2 linked regions of the Nothobranchius furzeri genome follow. Each later gene encodes a partner of the first gene's protein in a complex. Links are inferred from orthologs where the notes say so. Each region holds a gene or a part of one and is shown on either strand. Other genes may lie near its edges.

Region 1 (6,006 bases):
CTTTTACCCTGGAACACTTCTAGATCTTTCAACTCTTTGATCATTTTTGCATTTAGACCTTCTTGCTCTCTACAACACCATTTCTCGTCCATGTGGCTGTGATTTTTTTCTGTTTTCTCAGCACCCTTGCTTCTTTGGCTATTGTTTCATTCTTTTTCGTCAGGTGTTCATTTATGTACACATTTGTACCTTTCAGTTTTTTTTTTGCTTGCCTCAACAACTCATTTCTGTACTTCCTACTGGTAAATCGCACTATGATGACTGGTTTTAAGGCGACTGCCTTTCTTGGAAGGGTATGACAGATTGATATTGCTTCACTTTGGATATTAATGTTCTAACTGTGCAAGAAGCTCAACACTTGTTGTTCTAGTGACTGGAGTTCTTCCTGCGGAGCATCCTCAGTAGTATTTCCATCTCCAGTAACTCTGGCATAAGTCCTATGTCTTGTTTCCAAACCAGTTATCACCAAGTCTTCCCTTCTGGTATACTGCTCCAGTTCATCCACCCTCTGTTCCAATACATGATCTTCTTGTCCCTTTCTGCAAGCTTGAATTTCAGTGTCTTGACCTCGTCCATTAATGATAGTAGTTGATCCTGTTGTACTGTTAGCTTAGACAGCTCGGCTGACATAAAATTAAATGCTTTTTTAAAATTTCCTCCATATCTTCCTCGAGTTTCTCCGTTTTTCTAGGAGGGACCATTGTATTAGGCTTACCTCTCTCTCGGCCCTGGTTGCCGGTGAATCTGGAGCCTGGAGCCCCAGGCTGAGCCTGATGGTTGGATCAGGTGGCTGGTATTGAGGTGATGGTGGAGCCTGGCTGCTGGGCCTGGAGGCTGCTGGGCCTGGAGGTTGCAGGGCCTGGAGTCTGCTGGGCCTGGAGGCTACTGGTGTAGTAGGCAGGCTGCTTTGCCTGGAGGCTGATGGTGGAGCCTGGCTGCTGGGCCTGGAGGCTGCTGGTGGAGCCTGGCTTCTGGGCCTGGAGGCTGATGGTGGAGCCTGGCTGCTAGGCCTGGAGGCTGATGGTGGAGCCTGGCTGCTGGGCCTGGAGGCTGCTGGTGGAGCCAGGCTGCTGGGCCTGGAGGCTGATGGTGGAGCCTGGCTGCTGGACCTGGAGGCTACTGGTATAGCCAGGCTGCTAGGCCTGGAGGCTGATGGTGGAGCCTGGCTGCTGGGCCTGGAGGCTGATGGTGGAGCCTGGCTGCTGGGCCCGGAGGTTGCTGGTGGAGCCTGGCTGCTGGGCCTGGAGGCTGCTGGTGGAGCCTGAACCTGAGCAAAAACAAGACAACGGTCATTGAAAGCTTCTCCGGATCACTAGATGGTTAACCAACCATAGATATAAGCGTCGTGGTCAGCAGAGATAGAGGTAGACCAACAAAGGCTGGAGATTCTCCTTGTTCTCCGCACCGACTGCTGTCCGCCGAAATGCCCAAAAGTGAGTGGGAGCATGTTAACAGGCCGTTAGCATGTGTGTCTTACAACCATTATTAAGAAAACACATAGACGTAGTAGATTAATACAAAAGCATAGCTTATAGCGTATTATATTAACGCAACATGTAATGTTTTATTTAGGCGATACGAGGCTCTGTTGGCTTATATTAGCGATCCAGCTTTCGCTTCATTCAGCTCATTTGACAGTTTATCTTAGTTTCAGCTTACTTCAGCTATTCAACAACTTCAGCAATCAGTTACCAAATTTAGCATAAACTGCTAATTTCACAGTTCAGCTAAATGTAAAGATTAAATTGTTAAACTTGTCCAACTGGAATAACAGGTTTTAAGACATTTTAGCTGTTCAGATTTTTATACGATGTTCACAGATTTCAGTTTTTTGCTATTTAACATTATTTTTCTCTATTCTTCACTTACTTTTTGTGCTTTATTTGCTTGTTTGTGCTTTTTGCTTCTACATCTTTCAAGACATTCAGCTCATTTTGACAGTTTTGCTTTGTTTCAGCTTCAGTTCAGCTGTTCAGCAGCTTCAGCTTACAGTTTCAGCTCTCCAGCATTCAAACAGCATTTGTGCAATAAATGCAAATTTTTCTAGTTGAGGCTTGTTTTGTTGCCATAGTTGATGGCCAATAAAGTTTTCTACAAAAGGAGCTTGGACGCCTACTGCGCATGCGCATTACCAGGAGTCCTTGGCTGCTTGCTCTACTCTAGGTTACTTAGCCGGTCAGAGACACAAACACACAAAATGCAAAGCTGGACGCAGCTTTATCGCTCGGTGACCACGGTAAGGATGATAATTATTACTACGTTAGGCTCCACGTGTTGTCATTAAAGATGTCAGGCTGGTTTCAGTCGCTAAGGGTGTGTGAGTGGTATTTTCGTACTCGAGCTATGCTAGCTGACGTGCTAGCTGCTCAGTTAACTGAAGTTGTATGTAGAACATTTATCTCAGTATATTCCGCTGGGAAAGTTCATATCACACCGCTGTTGTACTACGTGGCTTAATGTGCCATTTGATACGTTCTCAATTTGCACATTGTGTGTGAGTCAAATCTAGTGTAGGTGGAAATCACAAATGTCAATGAAATCAGGACTTTTGTAATACTTTTCGATCACCATGTGCAATTCATTAACAGTAGAGTATGTCTCTGTGATGTATCACGTTTAAATCTAACTGTATGTTTAACATTTTGTGTTTGTTTCACGTCTGACTTGTTTCCTCACTGTTTTAGCATGCTAAGACTGCTAGCTCCGGTTCCCATGTAGCCTACATGAAGGACCTATTATCTGTCCTTGTTATTCTTTATAGTATTCGCTTTTCAGAAGCATTTTTGCTTTAGGAACTAAACAGTGCTGTCGTTGGTAGAGCCCTCTGCATGTTTAGCAAGGGTAAATATTCTGTAAAGAAAACATTTGAAGGTTTAAACAGGGAATTAAAACCCACATAGTTTATCAGTTTGTTTTGGTGTTTCATCAATAATGCTTGTGTGATTTGCTTCCCAGCTGAACCACCAGCTCCCCTACAAGCTGCACGGAGCTGCTACTGTGTCCGTCCGAACTTTTGCTGACAAAGCAGCAAGTAAGAAATCCTGGAAGTTTGATCATTGAAACCATGAAATCTTGTTTCATTCTATTAGTTTAAATATAACACAAGTCCTCATCAAAGTTTTTTGTCCCAGACAGACAAGGCACTTTCACTGTGATGTTCAGACCCACTTTAAATGACTGTTGTTTCTAAAACACACAAACTTCAGACAGATGACCATGGGATCATGCTTTCCCTACTAATATGAATTCATATTAAAGCTAAAGTACATTCAGTAGATATAATTTTGAGATTTCAAACCAGGCATTTACAACATGTTCTTTGGCAGTCGGCCTCCTGGCAGCAGCTGCTCATGAAATGGTTCAGATGGTCAGTGAGAGGGTGATTGTTGGTCTGTATGAAGCAGGGTTGGGGCCCAACACATGGAACCACATACCGGTACATCAGGCCGTGATTAGGGCCCAGATCTGATATTCCAGGTCATTTTGGGACGTTTCTAAGTGACGTAAGGCCTGGGGTCATAATTGTTTTATTTTCTGTTTCCCCTAGAATAAAATGCCACATTTTTTTAAACATAAAGTCCTAACAATGAGAGTATTGTTGCCATCTCATTGCAATAAGTAAAGTCTCTAGTAGGGATGTCCCGATACAACTTTCACTTTCAATACGATACTGATATTGCAGCCTTCAGTATTGACCGATACCGATATCAATCTGATACGATATCAGCACAAATCATACAGACTTTGACCTGTGTCATAGTGTAGAATGTATGAAAGGCTGGATCAAGTGATGGTACTCAATCGGAGAGCCAATAACAGTATTTTTTTCTTAACCATTGGTTGCAAAAATGTGAACTTTAACAGACTGCTTATATCGGAGATTTTTGATGCCGCGCGACATAATCCGATAGTGTTTATGGGCCGCTATCAAATTACTTCCGATATCGATATCATAATGGGACTTCCCTAGTCTCTGGAGTCCCTCTGTCAGACTGCTTCTCTCGTTTCTTTAGAAGTTTTCCCCGACAGCGGAGTACATCTTAGCCCCAGATCCATCCATGTTGTCGTAAATCCCAGGGTGTGTGTTCTGTGTTTCTGCTGTTGTGAGTGAGGTTTTGGTGTGTTTCCTTTGTAGTTGATGCAGACGTCACAGTGGTCGGCTCTGGTCCCGGAGGATATGTCGCTGCCATCAAAGCTGCACAGCTTGGTTTTAAGGTGAGTTTCCTCTGTGACACAAACACGGGAGTACCCGACCTGCTGCTACTTCTATCCAGTGAACCTTGAATCCGCAGAAACTGGTTTCTAAAATGAATACGGGTTTTCTAACAATTGGATTTCCTTTGGCAGACAGTTTGTGTTGAGAAAAATGCAACACTGGGTGGGACGTGTCTAAATGTTGGCTGCATCCCCTCAAAGGTAAAGAGCTGGTGTCTGTGTTGATCAGGAAGTTAAGCTTGTTTAGACTCATTTAGTTAGACTTTATGAAGTAAAATCCTTGGATTGATTAAATGTTTTGTTTTCTGTAGGCTCTGCTCAACAACTCCTACTTGTACCACATGGCACACGGCAAGGACTTTGAAAGCAGAGGCATCGAAAGTAAGACGGGACGATGTTCTTGACACACGTTTTACATTTTATGAGGCTTTGCAGGCTCGACCGGGTTCCACAGCAGTTTTCAGACACACGTGAAAACTGAACAGGCGCAACCCAACTGGCTACAGAGCTCTCAAACCTCACAGACCAAGTGAGACGTGCATCTTCCTGAATACTTCTGCAGCCAAGTGATGGCTCGTTCATACGGGGCACTAGGGGGCCGTCCATCCTGAGCTGAAGGCAGAAGAAGTTAAAGCACTGCATCACACTCCGATGCTTTACTTTTGTGTTTGTTCATTTTAAAGGCTCAAGCATGGAAGTCTAAAAACTCAAAAGATAAATGAACCAAACCAGAACTGGTTTCTATTGAACTATAATGTACAATACAGTGTATGCTCCCCAAGTGGTGAGCTTTGTGCTCTATGTTCTTTGTCCCCCAGTAGGTGGTGCCGGTGTAAAACCCACGCCGGTAGCCCAGAGAACACGAGACTCTGTAAAGCACGGGTGTCAAACTCAGGCCCTCGGGCCAAAGTTGACCTGTGATCTGTTTTTATTTGGCCTGTGAGATCAAATATATATTAAAACCATTTTGCCACAAAGACCACAAATCTCATTGTGCTTTGCAGCGTTAGCGAGGCAGTAGAAGCGCCCCCTCCTTTCTGTTTACGATCATTAGCATCCGTGCTACTAGAATCCGCGTCTGCAGCGATGCCATCCTCGGCCTCAAACAAGCTGATAATACTCCTCAAATCGCCGAGTTTACTCTGCAGTTTGCTGACTTTTAAGTCCAGAAATTGAGATTTCAGCCGCTCCGCAGTCCGTCCACAGCTGACATGGAAAGCTCACCAACCCGGCCTTAGCTGCTCAGGTTCTCTATGTTCAGCAGCACTTATCTCCGTGAGCAACTGTTGTCTGTGAGGAAGATGAACAAAAGTCTCACTGATGAACTCCTTCTTAGCTTAGAGTCCAACCCCACAGGTGCAGGTCTGGCTGGAACAGGTGAGCATCGCAGTAAATCAGAGTGGATTAGTTAGTTTTCATGCACTTTTTCTGCTCCAAAGCATGAAAGTTAATGAGATATTTTCATTTAAGAGAATTGCTATTTTTTTGGTTTTTGTTGTTGGCCTGTAAAAAAAGATGAAGCCTACTCTAAAACAGGAAGTGGAAAGGCCACAGATAGAAGAGTAGAATAGAAACAGAACAGCAGCAATAACATTCATTACAGGAGCAGAAAAGGAGAGTAAAAAATAAGAATAAAGAGTAAACAACAAGAAAACAGAAACTAAAAGATTCAAAAGGTAAAAATGTAATAAATGCTGAATAAACACATTTGAAGGAATAAAAAGTTTTAAAAAATCGAGACATAAGTAACGACTGATGTGTTTAAGATTCACTTGCTCGTGTGTAATTTAG
Region 2 (4,495 bases), on another chromosome or scaffold:
CAGCCAGTGAAGCTGGAGGAGAAGTGGGGTGTTGTGGGTGTGTTTGGAGGACTTGGTCAGAAGCCGAGCACAGGCGTTCTGAACCACCTGTAGACGGTTCAGGGAGGTTCTGCTCAGACACGTGAAAAGAGAGTTACAGTAGTCTAAGCGTGAGGAGATGAAGGTGTGGAGAACTGTCTCAAGTTCAGAGCGTGACAGAATGGGACTCAGCTTAGCAACGTTCCTGAGATGGAAGAAGGAAGAGCCAACAAGAGAACTGACATGAGAATCCAGGGTGAGAGCTGGGTCAAAGGTCACGCCAAGATTCCTGACGGAAGGTTTGGTGTGGGAAGCAAGCTGACCAAGAGAGTCTCTGACTTTGGGAACCAGCTTGTCTGGGGCACAGATGAGGATCTCAGTCTTATCTTCATTCAGCTGAAGAAAGCTCCCACCATCCAGGTTTTGATAGAGCCAGGGCGCATCATCAATCAGGTCACAGTAACAGGACACACACTGCCACAGACGCATGATGTTATGTCCCATTCTGTATTCTGCGCTTCAGCCTGTGTGTGTGTGTGTGGGGGGGGGGGGGGTGCTCTCCATGTCCAGTGTGTGTAGGCCAGGTCCTTAGTCAACTTAAAGTTGTACACATTTTTCCGCTACGTTTTCTTTCATAAATCCCAAAGCAGAGACGAATCATGACTCAGCAGAAGACGCCTCAGAGAAAGAACTGGAGACACTTGAACAACAAGTAGTTACCTTTGTGCTCAGTAAGAATATAACTACCCATAAAGAAGCTGTATGTACACGTCACACTCTGCCTACAACTCAGAGAACACAAAGGAACATGTACTGGTGCAAGCTAAGAGGGTTAAGATGAAATCTTCATTTAGCTAAAAACTAGTTACACAACCAGATCAGAGGCCTCACGGGGTGCTGTGAGTCAGTAGTGCATTTTTAATTGTGCTTTAAAAGCTTCAAGTGTAGTTGTGAGTCTTAATTCCAGTGGAAGGCCATTCCACAATGTTGGGGCGCGACTCTTATGTTCAGGTGGTGGAACGACCGGTAGGTTGTTGGCAGCGGAGCACAGTGATCTTGAGGGGGCGTGTTTCTGCAGTAGTGATGATAGATGAGGCGGCGCAGTCCCTGCTAGTGACTTGAATGTAAATACCAGAATCTTGACCTCAATGCAGTGTTTTAGCAGAAGCCGCTGCAGTGCATGTAATACTGGAGTGTTACATTTGTTCACTCCGGTAATAAACCTTGCTGCAGCGTTCTGAACCATCTGCAGCTCTGACAGTGTGGAAGTGGTCAGACCGACATACAGAGTTGCAGTAGTCGAGTCTGGAAAGCACAAATGCAGATGTTACGATCTCAAGGTCCTTTCTGGATAGCATAGGCTTGATCCTCGCAAGGCGCAAGGATGGGTTAGGGTTAGGGTGAGGGTTAGCATGATCTCACTACAGAGTTCACCTGTGCATCAAAGGTCAGTCCAGAGTCCAGTCTCACACCAAGATCAGTTACCACTTTACGTTCAAATTGTGCTAATGATAAGAGGTCTATGCTACATGGCTGATGGCCATTAGGTGACAAAACTATGACTTCAGTCTTGCTCTCATTACAACTGAAGAAGTTGGTCGACAACCGTGAACGCACGTCTTCCACGCATTCCACCAGAGACTTAATGAGCCAGACAACCCCTCTCTCACTGGCAGATAAATCAGGCAGTCGTCGGCATACGACTGGAAGTCAATACCGCAGCTGTGGAAGATCATGCTGAGTGGGAGCAGATAGATTGAAAAGAGCAGGGGACCCAGAACAGATCCCTGAGGGACCCCCCATTTCAGCTCTTTCTGAGACGATAAGTGATTACCTGTAGAAACACTCATAGTTCTACCAGTCAGGTAGGACTTCATCCAGCTCAGAGCTGCTCCTGAAATCCCCACCCACTGCTCTAGGCGTTCCAGCAGAACCTGATGATCCACAGTGTCGAACACTGCAGTCAAGTCACTAAGCAGCAGCACCACCGCCTTCCCAGCATCAGCTGCCAGGGACACGTCGTTGGGCACCTTTAAGAGAGCAGTTCCAGTGCTGTGCCCAGATCTGAATCCAGACTGGTGTGGTTCTAAGATCTCGTCGGTGGCCAAAAATAGACAGAGCTGATCATAAACTGTCTTCTCAAGGACTTTTGAACTGAAGGGAAGGCGCGAGATTGGCCTGTAGTTGGAAATAACTCCTGGGTCCAAAGCTGCCTTCTTTAGCGGGGCTTCACCACCGCATGTTTCAAAGTGTGGGGCACAAGGCCGTGACTGAAGCTGCTGTTTATGATGGACACTACCGGAGGAGCCAACACTGGAGAAACCGTCACACGGGGAACCTGATGGCTTCATTCTGGAGACCAGCTTCAACACATCCGACACAGTAAATGAGTCTAATGTGGCTGATAGTGGAGGTGGAGCCAGAGGGGTGTATAGTGGGTCATGTACCAGAGAGGCTCTTGCTGTTGCAGGTTTCTCCAGACAACACCTGGAAGTTCTCACAGCTCTCAACTGAGTCATCCATTGTAGTAACCATTCCCTCCGGGTCCAGCGCTGAACTCAGTGCTGGTCACCTGAGGCTGAAGAAATAATGCCAGCAAAATAGTTAATTTTAGCCCTCTTACCTGCCAGCTAGGTCCGAGCTAGCTTGGACCTAGCGAGGCTAGCTTGGACCTGAACAGCTCTAAAGAGATTTGAAGTCTGTCTTTCTTCCACAGCCTTTCAGCCCTCCTGCTGTCACGTCTCATGTGTCTGATTTCCTCTGACGTCCAACCTTCAGATTTTCTCCCAGACTTGACATCAGTGAGGGGCGCAGTCTCATCCAAGACTGATGCACATAGCAAGTCAAAACGATCAGAGAACAACTGTGGGTCAGGCGGGACTGAGTACTACGAAGGCCACTGGTTGGAGACAACCACAGAAAACATTAAAAGTATTAAAAACCAGTGGAGTTTTGGCACCGCTGGTCATACTACAGGTGGAATAGTGATGTCACAACCAAACCCAGGTGCAGCATGGTCAGAAAATCTACCACACTGGTATTGCTAGTCCTCTCGTTTGGGAGTCCTAAGTCCAGAGTGTGGCCGTGCTTGTGTGTGGGCCCGGTCCTCCACCAGCTGTTTCTCAGGGCAGCACACATGCATGTTAAACCTCCCAGAACTAAGACATGATCAGAATTGTGCATAAAAACTGACAAAAGTTCTGAAAAGTCCAATGTGGCCGAAATAAGAATTCCTAAAACTGTAGAGTCCAGTCCAAAATCCAGGAGGCATGGCTCGGAGCTTCAGTGAGTCGAGCCGTAAGAACCGGTTCACTTTACCGGACCGGACCAACTCTATGTGTATAGCACCGTTAAAGACACGGCGTGAGCGCTGAGCAACATGCTGAACAGGCAGGATCAGTTAAAGCACTAAAATCATAATATGATCACATGAATCTCTAAAACCGTAGGATTTTAAGTCGGATCAAAAACCCGCAGAGAGGACGCCAGCCTGACTGTAATGGAGGTCAGAGCACGCTGCCCCCGGGCTCTGACCTCATTTAAGGTCAGCGGGTCACTCTAAAGAGCCGGAGTTCCCATCACTAGTGAGCGTGGCTTTACATTCTGGTGCACCTTTAACCTCACCCCTGATTGGTCCAGAGGTCCTGAGCCTCAGTCCTGGCTTAGTGATAACCGTGTGCTCTCGTTGGCTCAGGCTGCCTCTCTGGGTCTCCTTCACTTCCCCATCCTAAACGCCTCGGTGGATGAAAGCTGTCAGAACATCACCTACAAGGTAATTCCTGGTGTTCACTGGTTCTGAACAGGTAGCTGGGTGGCTCTGACGGTTCTGGCTGCTTCTCAGGCATCTCATAACATCGGGCTTGCAATGGACACCAGCCAGGGTCTGCTGGTTCCCAACGTGAAGAACGTTCAGCTGCTCAGCGTGTTCGAGATCGCCCAGGAGCTGAACCGCCTGCAGGCGCTGGGGGCTGCAGGTCAGCTGGGTGCCACCGAGCTGAGCGGGGGGACGTTCACTCTGTCCAACATCGGATCAGTGAGTCCAACCGCACCGCAGTACCGCGTTCTACTGCAGAACCCGACCTGAAACTAACGTGGTTGTCTGTGATTGGAACCAGATCGGAGGGACGTACGCCAAACCGGTCATCCTTCCTCCTGAGGTCGCCATCGGAGCCCTGGGAAAAATCCAGGTGAGATCTTGTGCTGTGATCCCAAACGGGAACCAACGTGAGCGGATGTTTCTCAGGCCCGTTCTAACTGTGTGTCTAGGTTCTGCCCCGGTTTGATGCCAGCGGTGAGCTGATTCCAGCTCACATCATGAAGGTCAGCTGGTCAGCAGATCATCGCATCATCGATGGCGCCACCATGTGTCGCTTCTCCAACCTGTGGAGGGAGTACCTGGAGAACCCGGCCTGCATGGTGCTGGACCTGAAATAAACACATTCCCCATCAGCCCCGGGGTGAGCGGTACCACAGCCCC

Evidence for each region. The genes of interacting proteins can lie anywhere in the genome.
Region 2: the proteins of dldh (region 1) and dbt are in contact, whole or in part, in a crystal structure (PDB 3RNM), measured with the Homo sapiens proteins. The link is inferred for Nothobranchius furzeri from reciprocal best matches to the Homo sapiens genes DLD and DBT. Residues at the interface, in NP_000099.2 of Homo sapiens: Ser446, Thr447, Asp448, Arg449, Glu472, Tyr473, Gly474, Ser476, Glu478, Asp479, Arg482; in NP_001909.4 of Homo sapiens: Thr174, Pro175, Ala176, Lys196, Arg199, Leu201, Lys202, Glu203, Leu206.

The regions. Positions count from the first base shown.
Region 1 is NC_091754.1:40,923,069-40,929,074, reverse strand, and holds the start of dldh (dihydrolipoyl dehydrogenase, mitochondrial), read left to right. Parts: upstream 1-2,085; 5' UTR 2,086-2,197; coding exon 2,198-2,236; intron 2,237-2,955; coding exon 2,956-3,031; intron 3,032-4,135; coding exon 4,136-4,215; intron 4,216-4,347; coding exon 4,348-4,416; intron 4,417-4,526; coding exon 4,527-4,596; intron 4,597-6,006. UniProt on the Homo sapiens protein: Lipoamide dehydrogenase is a component of the glycine cleavage system as well as an E3 component of three alpha-ketoacid dehydrogenase complexes (pyruvate-, alpha-ketoglutarate-, and branched-chain amino acid-dehydrogenase complex).
Region 2 is NC_091748.1:80,632,085-80,636,579, forward strand, and holds part of dbt (lipoamide acyltransferase component of branched-chain alpha-keto acid dehydrogenase complex, mitochondrial), read left to right. Parts: intron 1-3,712; coding exon 3,713-3,790; intron 3,791-3,859; coding exon 3,860-4,051; intron 4,052-4,133; coding exon 4,134-4,205; intron 4,206-4,284; coding exon 4,285-4,452; 3' UTR 4,453-4,495. UniProt on the Homo sapiens protein: The branched-chain alpha-keto dehydrogenase complex catalyzes the overall conversion of alpha-keto acids to acyl-CoA and CO(2).